Elephas maximus indicus: one gene and its partners. The protein of the gene in region 1 interacts with the protein of each later gene in a pairwise test. Links are inferred from orthologs where the notes say so. Each region holds a gene or a part of one and is shown on either strand. Other genes may lie near its edges.

Region 1 (7,153 bases):
ATGTAAAGCTTCCCAAATAGTCTTCTTCTTACTCTATGCCTGAAATTTGATCATTTCCTATATTTCACCCCAAAAGTTTCTGTAAGTTCTCCCACTATCCAGGATGCTTATTAAGATATAATTAAGTAAGAAATATTTTTGAGCTATCCCTTATAGAGGTTCACCCTTGACCAAAAACGCAAAGTTTTCAGAAAATAGCAATGAAAGGCAAGTAGGTATAATCAACCTCATTCCTAAACAACTGGTGCTTCTGATAAAATGAAAATAAGAATATCGGAATAAAACTTTGCCTAAATGAATAATGTAAATATCAGATACTGTTCAACTATTTATGCCTATATTATCAGAACATATACCAGTGTGTTTATTGAACTGGGTATCCTCCCCTCTAAGAAAACAAATTTTCCTTAACTTTTAAGCAATTAAAAGCTTGTTCTCATGTGTGAGAACCAGTAGCCCACTAGTAAGTAGGAGAAACAAAACATAAGTCTATGCCTCAACTTCCCAACTATTACATAGATTATAACATTTGCTCTAGTCTACACTTAAAGGTTGGAAATAGAACTAAAATCCATTTTACCTAACTCAATCCAACATTCTTATTTTCTCCTCCTTCAAGTATGAGCAGAATTGGCTGGTATGCACCCAAACTTTATTAATATAGAAATCCATCACAATTATATAGAGAAATCACACCACCTCCTTTTTAAATTTACCTTACATAAAACCAGAACCAGTTGTGTGATGTATCTGCAGAAAAATGGAGGCAGGTCTATGTGCAAAGGGAATGTTTTGTAAATGTAAAGGTTGCTACACTTTAGGAAGTAAATTCTGTATTCACTTTTTTTTTTTTTAAATAATTATGTCCTCTTGGTATAACCATTTAAATGCAACATAGTATATTTTTAGTCAAATGACATTTTTCAAAATGGCACACTGGTGATTTGGGAGGCTTTTTTTTTTTTAATCTCTTTCTCACTCTCTCTTTGCTTTCTGTAAAGAGCACTCCCAACTGGACATCAGCTGGCAGAGCCACCAAGGCAGCAACAAGGACAAAGTCTACAGTCAGAATTTAAAATGACAGCTCGGCAGGTATCACACTTCCTAGGCATCTGAACAGGCCAAAGGTAGAAAAGTGAAGGGTTTGTCTAAAAGGTATGGGGCACTCTCAAATCCTTCAAGGAAAAAGACCTTGAGCTGGGACAGCTATGATTGTGGAGTGCTACATACTAATAATTTTCCTTCTCAGGCTGACTATATCAGTGGGGAATATTAAGATGGCAGTGGTCATCGCTCCTAGATCATTGCTGTTATTGTATGCTGTGGGGTTGATTCTGACTCAAAGCTACCCTACAGGACAGAGGAGAATTGCCTCATAGGGTTTCCCAGGCTGTAATCTTTACAGGACTAGATTGCCAGGTCTTTTCTCCCAGAAAGCTGCTGGTAGGTTTGAATCACAGATCTTTCAGTTAATAGCCGAGCTCTTAAACATTGCACTGCCAAAGCACCTTCCTAGATCATTCCAAACCAAAACCCGTTGCCCTAGTGTGGATTCTGACTCATAGAGACCCTATAGTACAGAGTAGAACTCCCCCATAGGGTTTCTGAGGCAGTAAATTTTACGGAATACTGCCACATAATTCTGCCGGGAAGTGGCTGGTGGGTATGAACGGCCCACCTTTTGGTTGGCAGCCAAGCACTTGACCACTGCACCATAGGGCTCTTTGTTCTAGATCATTAAAAAAAAAATTAGCCCCTCTCAATTCCTGATGTTTAATGAGTTGGTGAGGAGCCATGGTGGCACAAAAGTTAAGCACCAGGCTGCTAACCCAAAAGTTGGCAGTGTGAACCCACCCAGTGGGCTCTGCAGGAGAAACACCTGGTGATCTGCTCCATAAAGATTACGGCTAGAAAACCCTATAGGGCAGTTCTACTCTGTCTCGTGGGGTCACTATTAGTTAAAATCTAAGACAATGCCTACAACAACAGCAAGCTGATACTTGTTAGAATGACAGTCAGACTCCCAATTATTTCAAATTCTGTATGACGGGCAGAATTCTCCAGTGAAACCACACCAATCCCTGCACTAAGGAGTCAGGAAGTGCTCTTCTCCAAAACATTCCATGTTTTACAATTTCAGACAGTTAAGGCAAAAATACACATATAATGATAACTGGGATTTAATATTATGCAAGCATATTATGCAAGTATATTATGCAGAGAAAAAAATACCTCATCTAAAAGACAACAGGCTAAGAGCCCTTCTCTAATGAAGACCCTGGGAGGTTGAGTTTTGGAGAGAGGGTTGGATAGAAAGAACTAAGGTGTCTGAAGCCTCCTTACTTTTCTCCTCGATAGTCTTCCTTTCGTCACCACTTTCAGGACAGCACTAGAAGGAGAGCAAGTGTGACAAATACATTAAGACTGCATCACTGGATGGAACGGATACAGGGTGCCCAAAGCGCATCCACTGGTCGGGAGAGAGGTTCCAGATCCCTTTCTTAGGGGCCTCCCCGAGGGGCTTAGGTCATCCGATGCAGCTTCAAAAGGGGCCATCTCCCCGGAAGGTCTGTGCCACCTCAAGGGGACCGCCAGGGACACCTCTCCGGGGGCTCTGGGGCCACCTCATCAGAGTGGCAAGGGCCACTTCACCGAGATCACAAGGGCCATCTCCCCCGGGCCGCCGAAACCACCTCTCCGGACCAAAAGGGCCACCTCACTGGGACTACGTCCCCTGGGAGATCTACGCCACCTCACCAGACCACCAGTGCCAACTTTCCGGGGACACTGGGGACACCTCCCTTGGAGGGTTATGTCCCCTCCCCGGAACAGCAAGTTCGCCTCACCAGGGCCGCCGGCGGCTCGCCTATCTCGCCTGCTGGGAGCATCCCGCCCGTGCGCGCGTCCTTAGCTCCATGCACAGCCAGGGTGTCCTGTGCAGTCCTGCTCCGGCCAGTGATGACAGAGACACCAGCTCAGCCTCGGCAGCTGCTGGGATGTACGTCACCGCGACTTCCTCTAGTCGTCTCTGTGGTTTCTTCCTCTTGGCCCAGAGAGGCCCTGCCCGCGCAGCCGCCGACTGTGGGCTAGGGCTCCTCCTACCTGCCAGGGATGGGACCTGCAACTCAAAGAGCAGGCGCTTGCCCTCTTCCAAGGTTCGCAAGAGAAGCAGAGAATCCCCCCAACCATGGTAGCGCCTCCCCCCCCCACTTAATTGGGACCCTTAATTACTTGTATACTTGAGGATATCCCTCCCTCCCTTCCCACCATAAATTCAATAAGAGTTGTTTAAATTTATATTTTAAATGGTATCCTTGATTTTCTGCTTACATTTAAGAATAGACAAATAAAGGAACTGATCAGATATTCTGAAAGTGTGAGTAGGCTTGTTGGCGACGAGCTTCAAAGGACAGTTATTTAGTTGGGCTGTTTAGTCGGAGAATCTCCAATGTCAGTATCTTTGGCTCTTTCTTTTAAGGCAGATCAGATTCCCTAGAGATAACCCTCCAATTTCCTGCCTGGATGGTGCAGATTTGATTGCAAATGTCCTGGGAGCTGAATGGACTAAGAGGACTCAGCATCTAATACGCACTTTGTCCAGTGCAGAGACCCAAGAAATACCTGTCCATTGCTAGGGAGGAGGAAGGTGAGTTACCTAGCAATGAGGATACCTAGCAGCCAGGAGTAGGGAGGGGACCCACGGATTTGACTACTTCATAAACAAACTAACAGGGAAAGTAGGCAAGTGGTAAGGAGCCTTGGTGGTGCAACAGTTAAGCACTCAGCTGCTAACTGAAACGTTTGTAGTTTGAACTCCCCCAGCCGCTAGGAGAAAGACCTGGCAGTCTGCTCCCACAAAGATTGCAGCCTAGAAAACCCTATGGGGCAGTTCTACTCTGTCACATGGCGTTGCTATGAGTGATCTATTCAATGGCACCTAACAAGGACAGTAACAATAACCTAGAGATCAAAGCATACGGGGCGGGGGAGGGGGGTGGTGTTGGGGAAGCAACCCTTTGAGGAAACAGAAACCACTCTGAGAGTGTGAGTGGAGGTCGCTGTGAGGAGAAAACTTAAAAAAAAAAAAAAACCAGTACTCTAAGAAAGGTTCGAGACACCCTTGCAATCATTAAACAAGAACAGGATACTATCTGTAAAGGAGCATTTAGAGACCCCCCTCGAAATATATATACATGTATATGTATATATATAGCTATATATATCCTGTTCTTTTTATTCAACGCCCACGGAAGCAGCAGTCAAGAAATCAAACGACGTATCACATTGGGCAATTCTGCAGCAAAAGACCTCTTTCAAGTATTAAAAAGTAAAGATGTCACTTTGAGGACTAAAGTGCACATGACCCAAGCGATGGTATTTTCAATTGCCTCAAATGAATGCAAAAGCTGGTCAATGAGTAAGGAAGACCAAAGAAAAATTGATGCCTTTAAATTACGGTGTTGGAGAAAAATACTGAATACACCATGGACTGCCAGAAGAACGAACAAATCTGTTCCTGTCTTGGAAGAAGTACAGCCAGAATGCTCCTTAGAAGCAAGAATGGTGAGAATTCATCTTACATAGTTTGGACATGTTATTAGGAGGGACCAGTCCCTGGAGAAAGACATCATGCTTGGTAAAGTAGAGGGTCAGCGAAAATGAGGAAGACCCTTAACGAGATGGATTGACACAGTGGCTGGAACAATGGACTCAAACATAGCAAAGATTGTGAGGATGGTGAAGGACTGGGCAGTGTTTTGTTCTATTGTACAGTGGGTTGCTATGAGTCGGAAACAACTCAATGACACCTAACGAGAACAATAAAATGAGAAAATAGACCAAGAAAGAAGAAAACAGGAAATAACAGAAGATATAACACAAGAGAAAAAGGAAGTGAGAGGCATGACAACAACTGAGCTTTAGGCTAGGTGGATGCAGGTCAGAAGGCTCCAGAAGACTCCTTCAGAAGGATGAAATTGATAGAACACCTCATGTAGCTGAATCACTAGAGAGGGAAGTTTAAACAATTGTAGAGTTCAGGCTTGGCTTAGGGATGAGTAAGTAAATGAAAATAAGATTATTATTAACTACTGGAAAAACAAAAAACTGTGCAGGAAATGAAAAGCGGTACTTAAGCTAAGATGTGAATAATATTTACCTAGACACCATGAAGCAAACACAAATCTAATAAAAAGTACCATATAATTAACTGTATATTGAGCGGAAACCCTGGTGGTTAAGAGCTACGGCTGCTAACCAAAAGTCGGAAGTTGAAATCCACCAAGTGCTCCTTGGAAACTGTATGGGGCAGTTCTACTCTGTCCTATAGGGTCGCTATGAGTTGGAATTGACTCAAAGGCAAGGGTTTGGGTTTTTGGTATATTGAGCAGGTGGAGGAATGAGAAGCATGGAAATGAAAGGAGAGCTAAATCCTCATTTTCAATTAAATGAAGTCAGTAGATAATGCCTAAAAAGGAAAAATCAGGCAATAGCAATACAAGCATGTTATATAGAGAAATAAAGGTAAATAACAAAACAATCAGTTAAAAGAAGTGAAATGACGGCCTTTGAGGAGGGGAAAACAGGTGAGGGAAGAGGTGAGGAAGCAGTCCCAGCTGTTTCTTTGCAAACCTGATGAGGTTTCTACAGAATCATTTGACTCTAAACCACAGGCATGTAGAACTCTAATAAAAATAAAGGAGAAAAAAAGATAATCCTAAATCCAAATTCTTGCCTCTGAAGAACTCACTTTCTAGTAAAAGAAATAGACATGGAAATAATATAAAATTAGTGTTTACAATGACTGAAGGAGCACAGAGAACAGTTAAGTACTATCCGGGGAGTGGGGGAAGGCATCTTAGAAGGACAGAATACTAGGTGATAATAAGAACTAAAGAAAAGATAGATTTCATGTGATAGGCATTTAGCAACCTGTACTGCTGGTATAGAGTTAAAAGGAGAATACCAAATATTGTACAGAATATACTTGTTAGGATGGACTCAAAGCTGAGGAGAATATTCAACTGTTAAATATTTACTAGAAAGAATTGGAATTAGGAGGGGCTTTCAACACTTCTTGTTATTTTAACTATAAACGCCAATTTGTCCGTTTTGGTAAACAGAAAACTAAACTTGGACCTTGTGTAAGGCAATTTAGGCTGAAATGTAGAAGGGTAAGTTTTGACTATGGACTCAGCTAGTGGCCAAAGAAATGTGAACTTTCTTTCCTCTACATGCATTTATGAGGAATTGGGCTGTAACCCCAGAGAAGGTATCTTCCTAAAGCATATAAAAATAAAGAATTTGGGATTGAATTATTACTGTGTGGCTATGGTAAAAATATCTGCGGGGGTTGTCACTGGAATATTAACCTATGAATTAGCCAAAGCCCAGGACTCGTGACTGCACAGAGGTTAAGGACAGAAAAACATCAGAGGTACTTAAACTGAGGTGAATAGTCTCAGAGGAAAGCAGTACAGAACCCCACCAGTCTGAGCAAATTATCTATGACTCTTTTGACCAGATCCCCATAAGTAAACTCAGGTTTTAAAAACAAGCCTAGAAGAAATATAAGGATTTAACACACTGGTTGTTTACTCAGGGTTGAAATTTGGCAAAATTATTAGACGTGTAAAACCTATTAGGGGCTAGGATTTGGTTGGGAAATGTATGCGTCTTAAAGAGCATGGGAAGAGGAATGACATTTATTTTTCTTTACACAGAAGAACTTGCTATAATCAGGTTTCTAGAAGATGATTCTTTTGTGGACCTGTCAAGCAGGCAGGGTAATTTGAGGAAGAGGGACAATGGTGCTCTTGGATTGCTGCAATCAAAGGAAATTATATGTAAAACAAACCAGTGCCTAAAGTGATTCTTTTTTCATTATTAAATGCCTGGTGGAAGCCATCAATAAAGGGCCAAAACTACCCATGAAATTATTGCCCTGAAATAATCTTTAAACCTTAAACGAAAAATATCTCCTGAAGTCATCTTAAAAAGGGAAGAATAGTTTCACTAGTAGAAAAAGCTCTGCCTTTAAAGGGGCTCAGAAGCTGACTTAATGGACATGAAAATAGAGGGTGGAGAGAAGGAGTGTGCTGTCTCATTAGGGGGAGGGCAGCTAGGCATGTATAGAAAGGTGTGTATAAACTTT
Region 2 (7,954 bases), on another chromosome or scaffold:
GTGGGGTTGCTATGATTCGGAATCAACTCAGCGGCCATGGGGTTTGGTCCGGTTTATTGAGTATTTACTATAACTTATTGGCTTACAGTTCTGGAGGCTAGGAGTTTAAAATCAAGGTATCAGTCATGTTGATTAATTGCTTCTGAGGGCTCTGAGGAAGAATCTGTTCCATGCCTCTCTCCTCTTTTCTTGCAGTCCTTGGCTTACAGCTATATTACTCTGATTTCTGCCTCCATTGTCATATGGCTGTCTTCCCTCTGTGTGTGTCTCTATGTGTTCCTTCTCCTCTTTTACAAGAACACCACCCAGATTGGATTAGGACCCACTTTACCCCAGTATGACCTCATGTTAGCGTAACTGATAACATCTTCGAAGACTATTTCCTAACAAGGTCATATTCACAGGTACCATGGGTTAGGACTTCAATATACCTTTTTGGGAAACACAATTGAATCCATTAGAACCTGGGTTATATCATTTAATCCTGAAAACATTCCTGCGGAGCAGGATTTTGGTAGCTAGAAGTAGACTGCAATCTGAAGAGAGAGGGGGAGGATAGGGAGAAAGAAATGAATAAAAACCTGGAGGCAAGAAGAGACTCGATGAATTTTGAAGACAGTGATGAGACTTACCAGGTCAAAGCGAAGGGACTGTCTGGGACAATAATGACAAAGATGTCGGTTTGGGAGAAAGTTTGGGAGAGTGAGGCAAAATTATGTGAGGCCTTAACAACCACACCAAAGGATTTTACATTTTATTTAATGAGCAAAACAAAGAGAAATTATACGTCTATGACTTGAGAAAGGAGGATACAGAGTGGAAGTAGAAATTTTGGTACCCGGATTTGGTGGCAGGCATTCTGCTGTAAAACCCCAAGGGCACAGTGTGTTTGCTCATATCCCCAGAACCCACAGCCTCTACCAGTCACTACTGGTTACCACTAGTCATAGTTGCCTACAAACAAACACTTTAAGAAAGGTTTATTGAAGGAATGAATGAATGAAATAGGAATTGGATTGGAGGTTGTTTCTAGGTGTGAAGTGATGAGAGCATGGTCTGTGTTTAAGACAGTGGGCATGGAAATACGTAGAGTCAAATCCTAGAACCATTTTCAAAGAAAAAATAATAGGATTTAGGGGATGGATATAACCTACTGGGCATAAATTAATATTTAGAGCCATATTTTAGGTTTATTATATACAGCAGCAGCGTACTTGCATTTGACACATTGTAAGTTTTTTTTTTTTTTTTTAACAGAAATTTGGTATTTGAAACAAATCACATTTCAAGGGTGAGGCTATTATAAGTAATTATTATCACCATAAAAACTTACGTTTCTTTACTGTCTACTCATATTCCCTCCACCCAACTTCTTAGCAGTTTTACCTCATACCTGGAGAGTTGTCCTTGTCACCCACTGAATGCTGGCCAGAGTAAACCTTCACATCCTCAAACCTACCTGGCAGTTGCCTCCTCCCACTCTCTTGTTCATACAGTTTCTTCCTCCCACGAATACCCTTTCTTCTACCACTTCATTCCCATGTCCAGCTGCCATCCTTCAAAACCAAATCGTATGTCACCTTGTCTGTGAAGTCTAATGAACCCAGCTGGAACCAACAGCTCCCTTTTCTGAACCCCTACAGCACTGCATTTGGTTATCTAGGTATCTCTTTACTAGTATCTTATTTGTATTTCCGAAACGATAGCACTGTGTGTTGCTTAGTTATTCAATAAATATTTGTGGCATGAAATAAAGCTATTTTTAAATACTGCAGATCCCTTCCCAACCAAACAAGAGTTTCCCTTTGAGGAAATATTAGTTCAGTTTTGCAGTAATATACTTTTTTCTTTTTGCAATGTTTAGAATTTCACATCACTTTTGTTTGGTACATTTAGAAAAAGGTAACTTACAGGTTAGGAATAGAAAAGAAAGTTCAAGTGTAAGAAATTGTTCCGTGGGATACAGGAAACAAACAAACAAAAAACTCAACTAAACCCTTTGTTGTCGAGTTGATTTGGACTCATGGTGATCCCATGTGTGCAGAGTAGAACTACATTCTGTAGGGTTTTCAAGGCTGTGATTTTTCAGAAGCAGATGGACAGGCCTTTCTTTTGAGGCACTCTGGGTGGGTTCGAATTACCAACCTTTCTGTTAGTCCAGTGCTTGCTTAACTGTTTGCACTACCCAGGGAGTCCCAGGATAAAGGAAGCTGAAGAAAATTAAACCTGGGCCTTCATTGCTGCACTCCTCTTCCTTAGGAGAGAGGGAAGTGAACTGAACTCATGAGGTCCTTGGGACTCCAGCCTTTGTCTCCTTGGGAACCCAGTAGAATCTGGGAGTTAAAAATCCAGGGCATTGAGAAACTGGATGGAGAACCGATACAAAAACAGGTATCTCTTAGCAGGTGTATTATCTGCAAGGAGAAAAAAAGGAGAAAAAAAGGCAGCTGAAATTGTAAGCGTATCTCTGAACCTTTGTGCAGGGCAAATCTAGACTTTCTAGAGAATAAGGAACTTAGATAATTATTTTAATGAAAGTAAAAGAAATTATTCATTTCCTTGGCTTGCTCATGACTTAAGATCCTATTTTGTTCTATAAAGTCTTCCAATTGTGACTTCTACTATTAGGATTTTAAGCTGGAGAGGAATATTATACTAATTTCAGCCAGTATTTTCTGAGTCGTTAAACCTCGCATCTTGGAAACCCTCTGCGGGCAGTTCTGCTCTGTCCTATACAGTCTCTATGAGGCGGGAACCGACTGGACTGCACACAACAACATTCCATTCCCAGTGCTGGTGGCAATTCTTGAGGTTCCCAGACTTTGACATGCTCTTGTGACCCTGAGCCTTTACAGATGCTGCTTCCCTTGCCTAAGATACCTTTCTTCTCCTCATTTTTTCTTTTTTGGCAAGGTTAACGCATACTTATCCTAAAATTTTTCTCAGATATTATCTTCTCCAAAAGCCTTCCCTGAATGCTTTCATTGGAGCCACTCCCCATGATTTGGGTGCCACTGCAGCCTGTTCCCATGATGGCCTCGGCTTTCCTCATAACATTTACCACATAGTGTGGCAATTGTCATTCACAGGTCTTTCTCCCCCACTGTGCAGGCTCTTACTGGAGCCCTGTGAGTGCCAAGCAATCAGCAGCATACTTGGGAGGCAGTAAGCGCTCCCTAAATACTCACTGAGTGAATGCAGTCTTGGTTTAAGAAATGCAGGTGAAAGTCCTGCCTCACAGGGTGAGTTGTTACTATTGTAATTTTAGAATAATTTTGGAGAACTGCAATCTATGTCTCTCCTTGTCTTCTCCCCACTTCATGGAGTGTAGCTAAAGCAACCTGGAAAATAGCAGTGTGCCTATGTGCCCTAAGCTAATAACAGTTCATTCCAACCCAGCATTTAAGAACACTGATTATTTTTACTATGTGGCCTCCAGGGGAAAAGCAGATTTAAAAAAACACTTTTGTATTTTGGCTAACACTTGAAACTTTGTTGCCAAACGTATCAAATCCACCCCAGCAATCTTTTTTGATTTTAACAACATTCCACTGGAAAGAGGTCTCTGGATACTGGTTTTTGCCATGTGGTGTAATAAAAACCAAATGTCAGCCATCTATCACAGCCATCTACATTTCTTCTAATAATTCAGTTATTCCTATTTGGGGGGGGGGGGACAGGGCAGAAACACTACAAGTCTTTATATGATTCGATTTTATAAACTTTTTCAGAGAACAAATGATAAGAATAAGTGTGAGCCCATGGCTATGTTGAAGCAGCATTATCTTTCGGCACAGAAAACTGGGAGCTGAATATAAAGAATACGCAAAAGTCCACTGCCGTCGAATCGATTTCACACTCATAGCAACCCTATTAGGACAGAGTACAACTGCCCTATAGGGTTTCCAAGGCTGTAAATCTTTGGGGAAGCAGACTGCCACATCTTTCTCCTGCAGAGCAGCTGGTGGGTTCCAAGCCTTGACGGTCAGGTTCGCAGCCGAGCGCTTTAACCACTGCACCACCAAGGCTCCCTATATAGACTTGAAAAGTTTGAAGATCTCGCTTAAAATTTTTCCTGGAGATTAGTGTCCAATAACCATTCCGTTTGCTCTAATTACGACAAAAAAGTTAATATGCAGGATTAAAAAAAAGAAAAAAAACCCACTTGGGACAAGTGTAGGATGCTTACCGTTTTTATGAGCCCAGTGGGTGGGAAACTGACCAATGATTTTATGGGGAGCCTATCAAATAATATAACCCAAAGTTTCATTAGACGTAAAAATAATTGCTAGTACACGTTCATCCAAAGTAACTTTTTGCTCCTAATTTCGTGTGCATTTTTGTTTTAAAGACATAAAAGGCTGGGATAATTAAGATATGCATTCACCCACCCAGCTTAGCATCGGTGCGCATCACTTCTGAAACGCCTTTCAAGCCCCACCGAAAGTGGCTTGGGCATAGCCCTGGGCATCGCCCAGCCCTCGCGCCGGCCGTCGTCGGGGAAAGCGCCCGGGCTGCTGCGATGACAGGTGCCCGAGCCCCCGGACCCCGCGCGGGCGCAGCCCCGGAGGGAGCAGGGCAAAAACAGCCACACGCATTTCTCTCCCCGTTGCCCTTCGAAAAGCCGGGGAGCGGGCGGACACCGGTTTTCCGCACCTTCACCCCTCAGGAAGCAGCGATAGGAGGGCGCGGGCGCGAGACAGCGTGTGCGCGAAAGGGGGCTGAGCAGCGAGAAGTCGGCTCGGACACCTGAGCGTCCCGACGTCCGGCTGTCCCGGCGCGCGGCGGCCCTGTCCGCCTCCCGGGCCGCGGAGGGCGGGGGCCGCGAGCAGCGAGCGCGGGGAGCGAGGCCGGCGGGAGCCGGGGGTTGGCGGGACGCGCGCTCCGTGCCGGCGCCCGGTCTCGAGCCCGCGCCCCCCCCCGCGTGCCCGCGCCGCTGCGCGATGCAGTGTGGGGAATGGCTGGGGTTGGCTGAAGAGCGCACAGTGGAGTTTTAATGTCCGCCATGTTGGCCATGGCGTATTGAAGAGAGCGAGAGAGAGAGGAGCGGAGCGGCACAGACTCCCACCCTCCCGGCTGCTGTTAGTGCCCGGACGGCGGGCTCTGCGCTCCGCCCCTCAAGTCCCCGGCAGCGGTAGGCGAGTGGGGACCGAACCCCCGGTTCTCCATGATCCCGCTGGCCGGGGCCGTTTCCCCAGAGCGGAGAGGTATCTGCTGCGCCTGAGATGAGTAAACTGTCGTTTCGGGCGCGGGCGCTAGACGCCTCGAAGCCGCTGCCGGTTTTCCGCTGTGAGGATCTGCCCGACCTGCACGAATACGCCTCGATAAACCGGGCCGTGCCGCAGATGCCCACCGGAATGGAGAAGGAAGAGGAGTCGGTACGTGTTAACTCCCCTGTCCGACCCACCGCCAGGCCCCGCTCCCTCTGCTGCCTGCGGCGGCGACGGAGCACCATAATCACACAAAATGGCCGCCATCTTCTCCTCCCCGCCGACACTCAGTCGCCGGCCGGGCCCTTACCCCGCCTCCCCCGGCCTCGACCCCCGGCCGCCGCGGCCCGCTAGGGCCTCCTCTAAGGCTAGCCGCCGACACTGGCCACTCGTACCCAGGTCCCGCGGAGTCCGGGGGACCCGAAAGGCACAAAGGGGTCACGTGACGAAGCTGCCGGCAGCCATTTTGTGGTCTTTAGTTCTTGGGTTGGGCCCTTCGCATCCGGAGAGGGGAACGGGTTGGGTGGCGGTGGGGTGCGGCGAGCTGGGAGCCGGGCAGGACCTGCCTGCAGGCCTCTTGGCGGGCCGCTGGGTGGCGCTCTGGGGTCGCCTCGGCCTCGCGCCGCTGCCGCCGCCGGGGCGCGCAGGGCCTGCCACCGCGGGGCGTTTGGTGCCTTCAGCGCTCGTGGGGCTCAGGCCGCGCGTCCGCCAGCGGGGGCCTCGGAAGTGCCGGTGCTGTTGACAGCAGGTCGGTCTGTCGCGGGTATTGCACATCGGCCGCGACGACTTACTTTCCTGGGAGGTTTGACCGACTTGCAGTATTCCCTTTCTGGGACTTTCGCATCCGTCCCTCTCCAGTACCAGTTAGTCGGAGGGGTGATAAACTGCTCCCCCTGACTTTTTCTTTGATCTTTCAGAGTATGTTGCCGATTTGCTTGGGGTACGTGGCTCTTCGAAAGGCTGTAACTTTGTTATTTTTTCTGTAACATGTAAGTTTGCCTGCGTTCTGGTCTCAGCCTAAGGGGAGAAAAGACCCGATTTAAAGTAAATGTCATAGATGTGGATTTCGAAAGAGGGTCATTTCTCATCCATAACTGAGCTGAAAATTAAATCACTTTGTTCACAGACGTCTTAACATAAGGCGATTGAAATGTCTGAAGTGGGTGGGTTTCAGTATTTAAATGACTGTTTACAGCTAATAGACATTTTGCCATATATGTGGCTTTACCGTGTTATGGAAGTTGAGTTCAGACGCAAGGATAATAGAATGTCCCTCTCATTTCCCCCAGATCCTTGACAGTGTAACTTGATGACTTCTAATCCTAAGGAATTGCATACCTTGGTTTTCAGCCATTTAAACAGGGCGCAGTGTATTGACAGTTCAAGGAAGTCAAGGAGTCGCGGATTTGTCTGCTGCAAATTTGTTGTGGAAAATTGTAATGCTTTCATTTGGTACTGTAAGAATTTTAAATGTAGTAATTATGCTCTGTAATGTTTTTGAAAATAAAACTGTTTAAACCATTTGGGTTGTTTAACCTTTTAAAGTAAAATAGTTGTGGCAGTTAAATGTTACTTTTGGGTAGTGTCTTAAATCTAACTTTAAAGATAAGCTAAGCGCTAAGTGTATGTAGTAGTTGAGATTGTCTAGTGCAGTACTGACTTTCAGCACCTTATCTATGAGACAGTACCTCTTTTTTTTTTTTTTTTTGGCTTGTATCAACTTTAGAGTAGAATGGTGCCATTTGTTTATTTTTAAATAAGTGATTTGTTTTTAAAAATTAAAGTACTTGTGACTGCAGAATCTTGTCTTGGTTTTTTGTTTCTAAGTTTTACAGATAATATTTTCAAGATGGGGTGTTGGTGTTACATGGTCTTTGAAATTAATTTCTAGTTTTTGTTTTGCAGCCAAGGGCAGACCCTTGATTAAAGCTGGGTAGCACTACAGTACACTTTAGAAGTTTAGTTTTGTTTCTGGGAATACTTTGAGCAGTCCCAAGAGCTACAATCTAAAATCAGAGCCAAGTTTAACTGAAGCATCAGTGCTTCTTAAATTTACAGGTAATTTTTGCTCACTGAAATAATTTCCACATTTTATAGTGCACTAGATATCATTCCCTGGTGGTGTAGTGATTAAGAGCTTGGTTGTTAACTAAAAGGGCAGCAGTTCAGATCCACCAACTGCTTCTTGGAAACCCTACGGACAGTTCTACTCTGTGTCATATAGGGCCTCTGTGAGTCGGAACCGACTCAACGGCACATAACTGCAACAACAAGACATTTTTTCCATAACACTATCCTTTTCATCATCTGTTTAGAATTTGTTCCACTTTACATCCAACTGAAGCTGTATGACCAGAGAAGCACGTTGTTGTTAGATGCCGTCAAGTTGGTTCCGACCTATAGTGACAGAATGTATAACAAACACTGCCTGGTTCTGCGCCATCCTCACAGTTGTTGGCATGTTTGAACCCATTGTTGCAGCCACTGTGTCAGCCCATCTCATTGAGGATTTTCCTCTTTTTCACTCACCCTCTACCGAGAATGGTGTCCTTCTCCGGAGACTAATCGATCTCTCCTGATAACGTGTCCAAAGTACATGAGACCAAGTGTTGCCATCCTCGATTCTAAGGAGCATTCTGGCTGTACTTCTTCCAAGACAGATTTACTCATTCTCCTGGCAGTCCATGGTATAGTCACTCCTCTTCATCATCAGAATTCAGATGCATCAGTCGTTTATCTTTCTT
Region 3 (7,748 bases), on another chromosome or scaffold:
CAAAACAACTGTTGACCTAATGTATGTCCCCTTCCTCCTCTCTTAGTTTCTCAATTTATTCGAAGCTAAAACTGGGGAGGTGGGGTTAGCATTAGACCTAGCACTTAGTGGACTTGCTGTTGAGTACTTTTTGCTTCATGGAAAAAACCACAGAAGCATCTACCGGTCACTGGCATAAACAAACAAAAAAAGGCTTAAAAACACTTTTTGCCTTTGCCTTTGTGTGCTGAGTTGGTCAAAAGGAATGAGGATAAACTGATACCGGGTTATTTACAGAGCTGAAAGAACTATATGAAATCTGAAACACTATCCTTAAAGGTGCTTTCTCTATTAACAAATCTAAGGTAGATGAAATAAATCACAACTTTTCTTCTCACCTCAAGTTGATCTTGAGTGAGTTTGAAGTACAGGGTGTTTGGTAAGCGGCTGGGTATTAGGTTAGGGTCATAACCGTGGAGGTTTGTGGAACATCCTGTTTATTAACAAGAGCTACTTAGAGGAAGGGTTAAGGGAAGCCAGTCACAAATATGAAGCAGTACTGCTGAAAAAAAGCACCCAATCCTTCACACCTACACATCATGATAGACATCTTGCCATAGCAATTAGATCCAAAAAGCTTCTTAACTGGGTTTATGTAGCACCTAAAAGTACTTGCTCCAGCGCTTATTTAATCAGTGTTACTTTAGGAATTATTTGGGATTAATCCTTGATTTGGTGCCTAGGGGAGGGGTCAGTGTGGTCTTTGGAGCATCCTGTCCTTTTAGGCACCAATTATACCTTCCTTGCATTCGTTGCCTTCCCCGGATTAAGCCCTCCAGGTACCACTGTTCTTGCTGCAGTTGCTGTTTCCTGTTTTTTAATTGGCTTTGACAAGCCACCAACTCCTGGGATTGCTGAATTAGCTCCTGTAGATCCTTCTGTAACTGTTGGTTCTCTCTGTTGATGCCACGGTAGAACTCAAGAGTATACTGCTTTGCTGCCAACTCCAAGGCTTGGTTCTTCCTTTTAAGCTCTCTTCTTTTTCTCTTTCCCAACTGGCTTATGTCTGGCTCACTCAGTTGTTTCTCCAGTAGTGCTTTTTCCTGGAGGATCTGGACCTGTACTTCCTGTGTCTTTGCAGCTGTCTCATCTTGGACTTTCCTTTTCTCCTCCTGCAATGCCAGCATTTCTATCTCCTGTTTTTCCTTTAATATTAAAATGTCCTTCATTGCCTTCAGCTGGTGTTTCAGAAGGCTTTGGGTCTTTTCCTTCTGCAAGAGCTCTGCTTTAAGCACTGAAGTTTGTTTCCCATATCTTGAGGTTGCCTCCTGCCTCCGTAGTTCAGTCTCCTCACTTTTTTGTACATAGTTGTTCCACATCTTAATGGGCTGCTTTCTGTACTCCTCAGTCTTGTTGGTCAGGTATTCCAGAATGAATTTGTGTTCAGCCTGGACAAGTAACTTTTCAGTGCATAGCTGCCTGCTTTCCTTCTGTAGCTGTTCCTGCTGGATTTGAGCTTGTTCTATTTGATTGTTCAGGTCCACCACTTCCACCATTGCCTTTTTTTTAAACTTCATTTCAGCCTTTGTTAGCTTCTCTGGCTTGAAAAAAGTATTTATTAGACTAAGATATGGTGGAAGAGCTGTCTCAGGGCCCTCATCAAACCTGAAGGGAGAACAAATGACACATTCCCCTGTTGGTTCTTAATGAAAACTTAGGAAATAATTTTTAAAAAATGCACATTTGTACTTGGACTCATACAAGAAAATATTTTTGAGCACCTAATATGTTCCAAGGAATCCCTGGGTTGTGCAAACGTCTAAGTGCTGGACTACTAACTGGACTACAAACCCACCCAGAGGCACCTGGAAGGATCTGCTTCAGAAAGGTCACACAGCCTTGAAAACCCTGTGGAGCAGTTCTACTCTTGACATGCGTGTGGTCACCAAATGGACTCCATGGCAACTAACAACAACATGTTCCAAGGGAATACATTTAGGGGTAAAGATGAGGGACTATAGTTTACAATGCATTCACTACAACGCTGTGAGGCGTTATCTCAATTTTAAAGAGTAGAAAAGTGGTTCACAGAATATAAGTGACCTGTCAATGTTTGGGGCTCTGGTGGTGCAGTGGTTAAGCGTTTGGCTGCTAACCAAAAGGTCGGCAGTTCAAATCCAGCGGCCGCTCCTTTGGAAACCCTATGGGGCAGTTCTACTCTGCCCTAAAGAGTGGCTATGAGTCGGAATTGGCTCGAAGGCAATCGGCTGGGTTTTTGTCAAAGCTTACACACCTAACAAATGGCAGAGCGTGGGTATAAAACCCAGATCTTATGGCTTACAGCCCGTATCAAGGACCTCAAGAACAGATTGGGTGGCCAAGAATAGGAGTCATCTCGGCTTTTTCACCACGTTTCCGCGATGGCGCTTCCATGAGAGAGAACCTCCCCTTCTCAACTCACGTGCGCCTCGGATCCAACGGTTCATCCTCAAGGTGATGGTGATTGTGCAGTTCACTAAGGGTGATGGTCGAGGGGCAAGCGCTAGTGTCCGGGGTCGGCGACACGCGGGAACGGTATCCAAGCGCGTTAAGTTCTCGCAGTGTCTCCGTTCTGTGCTCAACGAGTCTCGGCGCTGCCCAGCAACCCCGGGGGTGGCGCTCGGCCCCAGTCCAGACCCGTCCGGCCCAGACTTGTTTAACCTCCTCGGCTGCAGGGTAAGCCCCAGCAGCCAGTTCTCCCGTGGCTCTGTTTGCTCCTCCTTGGGGGCCGAAAGTGAGACCCACTCTCCTCATTCTAGTTCTGTGGGAGCCTGCCCCCGCGATCCCGTCTCTTCTCCTTCTCCCGGGGACCAGGGCTTTCCTCTTCCCAGGCCCAACCCTATGAAGGTTAACACCCCTTCTCCTTGCCCCTTCAGCCCGCCTCTCGGTTGCCCAGCGTAACCGCTACTCAGTCACTGTCACTAGTTGGCTCCCGAGCTGGGTCGAGACACAAAGAAGACTGTGAGGCACTTCGCCCCGCCCCCCGTCCTTACTCTTCGAGCCCATTCGACTCTATGCTCATTCCCAGCCCAGAGCGTCGCGGAAGTCTCTCTAGCCACGCGGCGTCTCTGTCGTAGGGTGGGCGGATCTAGAAGAAAGATGGCGACTCCCGTAGCTGTGTCAGAGCCACAGGCTTCGGGTGGTCCTCGGCCCACAGTGTGTCTGTTGGTGTTGGGAATGGCGGGATCTGGAAAAACCACTTTCGTACAGGTGACTTACATGGCTCAGCCGTAATAAGGAGTACGTGAGAGGTTGTGCTGAACGGAAGCCTAATAGATAGGGAAGGAGGTTTCTCGGGCGTTGGAGGATACTCGCGCGTGACTTTCTTGCGCTTCAAATCAGCTCCGGTGTCTTTCTTGGCGACGTATTCTCGGATTCTAGCCTGGGTTAATTAAGGCTCTTTTTTGCTTACTCTCAGTGCTCAGTGCATGCTTCATATAATTTACCACGTTGTACTGGAATTGTCTCACCGATAAAATTGCGAACTTCTGAAAGTCGGGAACTTACAGGAAACTCCAGCAGTTAATACAGTGGTAGCACACAGGCTGTCGGTGAAGATCCGTCAAAGAATTATTAATTGCACGCCTACGATGGTCTAGGCACTGAGAACACAGCGACAATAAGGTTGACAAGGTTCTTGCTTTCATGGAACTAATATTTCAGTGGGGGAGACAGGAACTCCTTCCTCCTCCCCAAGCAATTAAGTGAGCGATGGCGAGTAGTAGAGGATGGTGATAAAGGTAGCATTTGAACTGAGAGCTGAATGTTGGAGGTGAACATAGAGAATGGATATTTCAGTTAGAGGGAAGTGTAGGTGCAAAAGCCTTCAGTCACGGGCAGTAAAGGAATGGAAGTTCTCTCTTCTTCTCTTATCGTCCTTTTTCTCTCTTATCGACCTTTTCCTCTCTCTCCACCCGCCTCCTCATGTCTCTGCAGAGGCTCACTGGACACCTGCATAGCCAAGGCTCTCCACCTTATGTGATCAACCTGGACCCAGCTGTGCATGAAGTTCCTTTTCCTGCCAATATTGGTGAGTGAACTATACCAGAGCTTGAGTGAAATGCCTAAAAGGAAATGGAAAGCCTCAGTCTTCTAGTCTTCAGTGCCTTCATTTTTCTCAATATCTACTGTCATTTTCTTGGATTTGTGAGAGTCTCTATCCAGGCTTCTTTATTCACATTTTCTTTTTGTTTACTCCTTTTCCTAAATTTTTTTGTCTCCTTTCCACTTACCTTTACCTCTCCCCTCTTTCTAACCCTAGTGTGTTAGGCTATTCTTATTTGGGTAGATAAGTGACAGGAAGTCAGTCCTGTTGCTTCTGCACTATAAACCCTTCAGCTGACTCTTAAACATAAACCTTTTCCTTTTAATTTCTTAAAGTTTAGTCAGTATAAGGGTTCTTATGCTACAGTTTTGGAAACGCTGGTGGCATAGTGGTTAAGAGCTATGGCTGCTAACCAAAAGGTCGGCAGTTTGAATCCACCAGGCGCTCTTTGGAAAGTCTATGGGGTAATTCTACTCTGTCCTTTAGGGTCACTGTGAGCTGGAATTGACTCAAAAGGCAATGGGTTTTACAGGGTGCTGTAGCTGACTCGCTTATCTATAGGGATCTTGCTCCCACTTCCAAAGTTTCATGGGAAAATATCTGTATAAATGCATATGTATATTGCTCTGGGAAGAGGTTCCCAATTTTCATCAAATTCTAAGAGGAGCCTGTAACTACAAAAAAGATTAAGAATGAATGTGATCCAGCGTTATGATTCTTGTTAAGATCTGGGCTTCCTGATTTCCAGGCCGTCACTGTGTGCTAATTGATCCCTCCTTGTCTCTGGGTTTTGTTTTTTTTTTTTTTTTTTGGCTCTTCTTAATCCTGATTAAACATACCTCAGAGAAATTATGGGTTTGGTTCCAGACCACTGCAATAAAGTGAACTGCAAGAATTTACTGGTTTCCTAGTGCATATAAAATTTATGTTTACACTGTAGTGTAGTCTGTTAATTGTGCAATAGCATTATGTCTGAAAACACAACGTTCATAACTTAATTAAAAAATATTTTATTGCTTAAAAAATGCTAACCATTATCTGAGCAAGTTTAATCCTTTTGCTGATGGAGGGTCTTGCCTTGATGTTGATGACTGCTGAAGCTTGGGGTGGCAGTGGCAGTTTCTTGAAATAAGAAAACAATGAAGTGTGCTACCTTGATTGACTCTTCCCTTTCATGAAAGATTTCTCTGTAGCACATGATACTGTTTGAGAGCATTTGACCCACAGTGGAACTTCTTACAAAATTGGGGTCAGTCTTCTCAAACCCTGCCGCTGCTTTATCAGCTAAGTTTATGTAGTATTCTAAGTCTTTTGTTGTCGTTTGAACAGTGTTCACAGCATCTTCACCAGGACTAGATTCCGTGTCAAGAAATCACTTTCTTTGCTCATCCATAAGAAGCAACTCCTCATCTGTTAAAGTTTTATCATGAGATTGCAGCACTTCAGTCACATCTTCAGGCGCCCCTTCTAATTCAGTTCCCTTGCTCTTGCCAGCACATCTGCAGTTACTCCCTCCACTGAAGTCTTGAATGCCTTAAAGACATTCATGAAGATCAGAATCAACTTCTCCCAAACTCCTGTTAATGTTAATATTTTGATGGTTTTTTTCCCATGAATCACAAGTGTTATTAATGACATCTAGCATGGTGAATCCTTTCCAGAAGGTTTTCAATATACTTTGCCCAGAACCATCAGAAGAATCATTATCTGCAGCAGCTGTAGCCTTACGAAATGTATTTCTTAAATATAAGACTTAAAAGTCAGAATTACTCCTTGATCCATGGGCTGCAGAATGAATATTGCGTTACCCATTTAAAAAAAAAAAAAAAAAACCATTACTGTCAAGTCGATTTCGACTCATAGTGACCCTATAGGACAGTGTGAAAATGTCCCATAGGGGTTCCAAGTAGCAGCTGGTGGATTTGAACTGCCCACTTTTTGGTTAGCAGCCAAGTGCTTAACCACCGAGCCACTAGGGCTCCAGATGTTATTGTTAGCCGGCCTGAGAACATGAATCTTCTTGGACATCTCCGTCAGAGCTCTTGGGTGACCAGGTGCATTGTCAGTAAGCAGTAATACGTTGAATCTTTCTTTCTGAGCAGTAGGTCTCAACCATGAGCTTAACATACTCAGTAAACCATGTTGTAAACAGATGTGCGGTCATCCAGGCTTTGTTGTTCCATTTATAGAGCACAGGCAGAGTAGGTCTGGCATAATTCCTGAGGGCCCTGGGATTTTTGGAATGGTAAATGAGCACTGGTTTCAACTTAAAGTCCCCAGCTGCCTCAGCCCCTAACGAGAGAGTCAGCCTGTTTTTGAAGCGTTGAAGCCAGGTGCTGACTCCTCTCTTGCTCTGAAGGTCCTAGACGGCATCTTCTTCCAGTGTAAGGCTGTTCCGTCTGCATTGCGAATCCATTGTCTAGTGTAGCCGTCCTCATCAATGATCTCAGCTGGACCTTCCGGATAATGTGCTGCAGCTTCTACCTCAGCGCTTGCTGCTTCACCTAGCACTGTTATGTTATGGAGATGGTTTCCTTCCTTAAACCTCATGAACCAGCCTCTGCTGGCTTCAGACTTTTCTTCTGCAGCTCCCTCACCTCTCTCAGCCTTTACAGAATTGAAGAGTGTTAGGGCCTTGCTCTGGATTAGGCTTTGGCTTAAGGGAATGTTGTGGTTGGTTTGACCTTCTATCCAGACCCCTAAAACTTTCTCCATATCAGCAATAGGGCTGTTCCACTTATCATTCATGTGTTCGCTTTTAGTTTCCTTCAAGAACTTTTCCTTTGCATTCACAACTTGGCTAGCTGTTTGTTGTAAGAAGCCTAGATTTTGGACTGTCTCAGCTTTCGACATGCCTTTGTCACCAAGCTTAATCATTTCTAGCTTTTGATTTAAAGTGAGAGACGTGTGACTCTTCCTTTCACTTAGAGGCCACTGTAGGGCTGTTAATTGGTCTGATTTCAATATTGTTGTATCTCAGGCAATAGGGAGGCCTGAGGAGAGGGGGAGAAATGGGGAAATGGTTGGTGGAGCAGTTAGAACACACACAACATTTATTGATTAAGTTTGCCGTCTTATATGAGCATTGTTTGTGGCGTCCCAAGACAATTAAAATAATAATATCAAAGATCACTGATCACAGATCACTGTAACAGATAGAATAATAATGAAAATGTTTGAAATATTGCAAAGAGTACGAAAATGTGACACAGAGACACAAAGTGAGCAGATGCTGTTGGAAAAATGGTGCCAGTAGACATGCTCACTGCAGCATTGCCACAAGCCTTCAGTTTGTAAAAAAACACAGTATATGTGAAGTGCAGTGAAGTGAGGTATGCATATACTCCAAACATACTAATGAAAGGGAGACTCTGTAGTAAGAGGCAGATATAATTTTTGGAGTAATTTGGGAAAAAAATTGCCTATCTTTCACCTAAAGAATGGAGTTCTAATAGTTGATGGGAGAGGCCTACAGACTGGTAAGAAGATTTAGTTAGCTATTAGTGGACAGACTAGTTTCTTTTTCAAAATAATGTCTGCCTTGCCGTTGTCACCAGTAGACAATTAGTAAGAGATAAACTTTTTTGTTGATTTGGGTCCCTTTTTTCTGTGTGTATGGTCAATGATAAAATAGTTCAATTGTATAAAGCTTCTCACCTTGTCTCAGGCCTTATCTACCACATAA

Evidence for each region. The genes of interacting proteins can lie anywhere in the genome.
Region 2: the proteins of RINT1 (region 1) and EPC1 interact in binary tests that used the Homo sapiens proteins (3 or more experiments, as listed by UniProt). The two-hybrid records come from large-scale screens. The link is inferred for Elephas maximus indicus from reciprocal best matches to the Homo sapiens genes RINT1 and EPC1.
Region 3: the proteins of RINT1 (region 1) and CCDC121 interact in binary tests that used the Homo sapiens proteins (3 or more experiments, as listed by UniProt). The two-hybrid records come from large-scale screens. The link is inferred for Elephas maximus indicus from reciprocal best matches to the Homo sapiens genes RINT1 and CCDC121.

The regions. Positions count from the first base shown.
Region 1 is NC_064826.1:44,103,397-44,110,549, forward strand, and holds the start of RINT1 (RAD50-interacting protein 1), read right to left. Parts: upstream 3,008-7,153; 5' UTR 2,889-3,007; coding exon 2,847-2,888; intron 2,390-2,846; coding exon 2,344-2,389; exon of another isoform or gene 2,233-2,343; intron 1-2,232. UniProt on the Homo sapiens protein: Involved in regulation of membrane traffic between the Golgi and the endoplasmic reticulum (ER); the function is proposed to depend on its association in the NRZ complex which is believed to play a role in SNARE assembly at the ER.
Region 2 is NC_064822.1:5,673,085-5,681,038, reverse strand, and holds the start of EPC1 (enhancer of polycomb homolog 1), read left to right. Parts: upstream 1-5,016; 5' UTR 5,017-5,225; coding exon 5,226-5,378; intron 5,379-7,954. Other genes in the region: translation initiation factor IF-2-like, read right to left, coding at 4,666-5,016. UniProt on the Homo sapiens protein: Component of the NuA4 histone acetyltransferase (HAT) complex, a multiprotein complex involved in transcriptional activation of select genes principally by acetylation of nucleosomal histones H4 and H2A.
Region 3 is NC_064830.1:46,146,159-46,153,906, forward strand, and holds the start of CCDC121 (coiled-coil domain-containing protein 121), read right to left. Parts: upstream 3,011-7,748; 5' UTR 2,773-3,010; coding exon 2,441-2,772; intron 1,645-2,440; coding exon 690-1,644; 3' UTR 1-689. Other genes in the region: GPN1 (GPN-loop GTPase 1), read left to right, coding at 3,118-3,228, 3,955-4,048.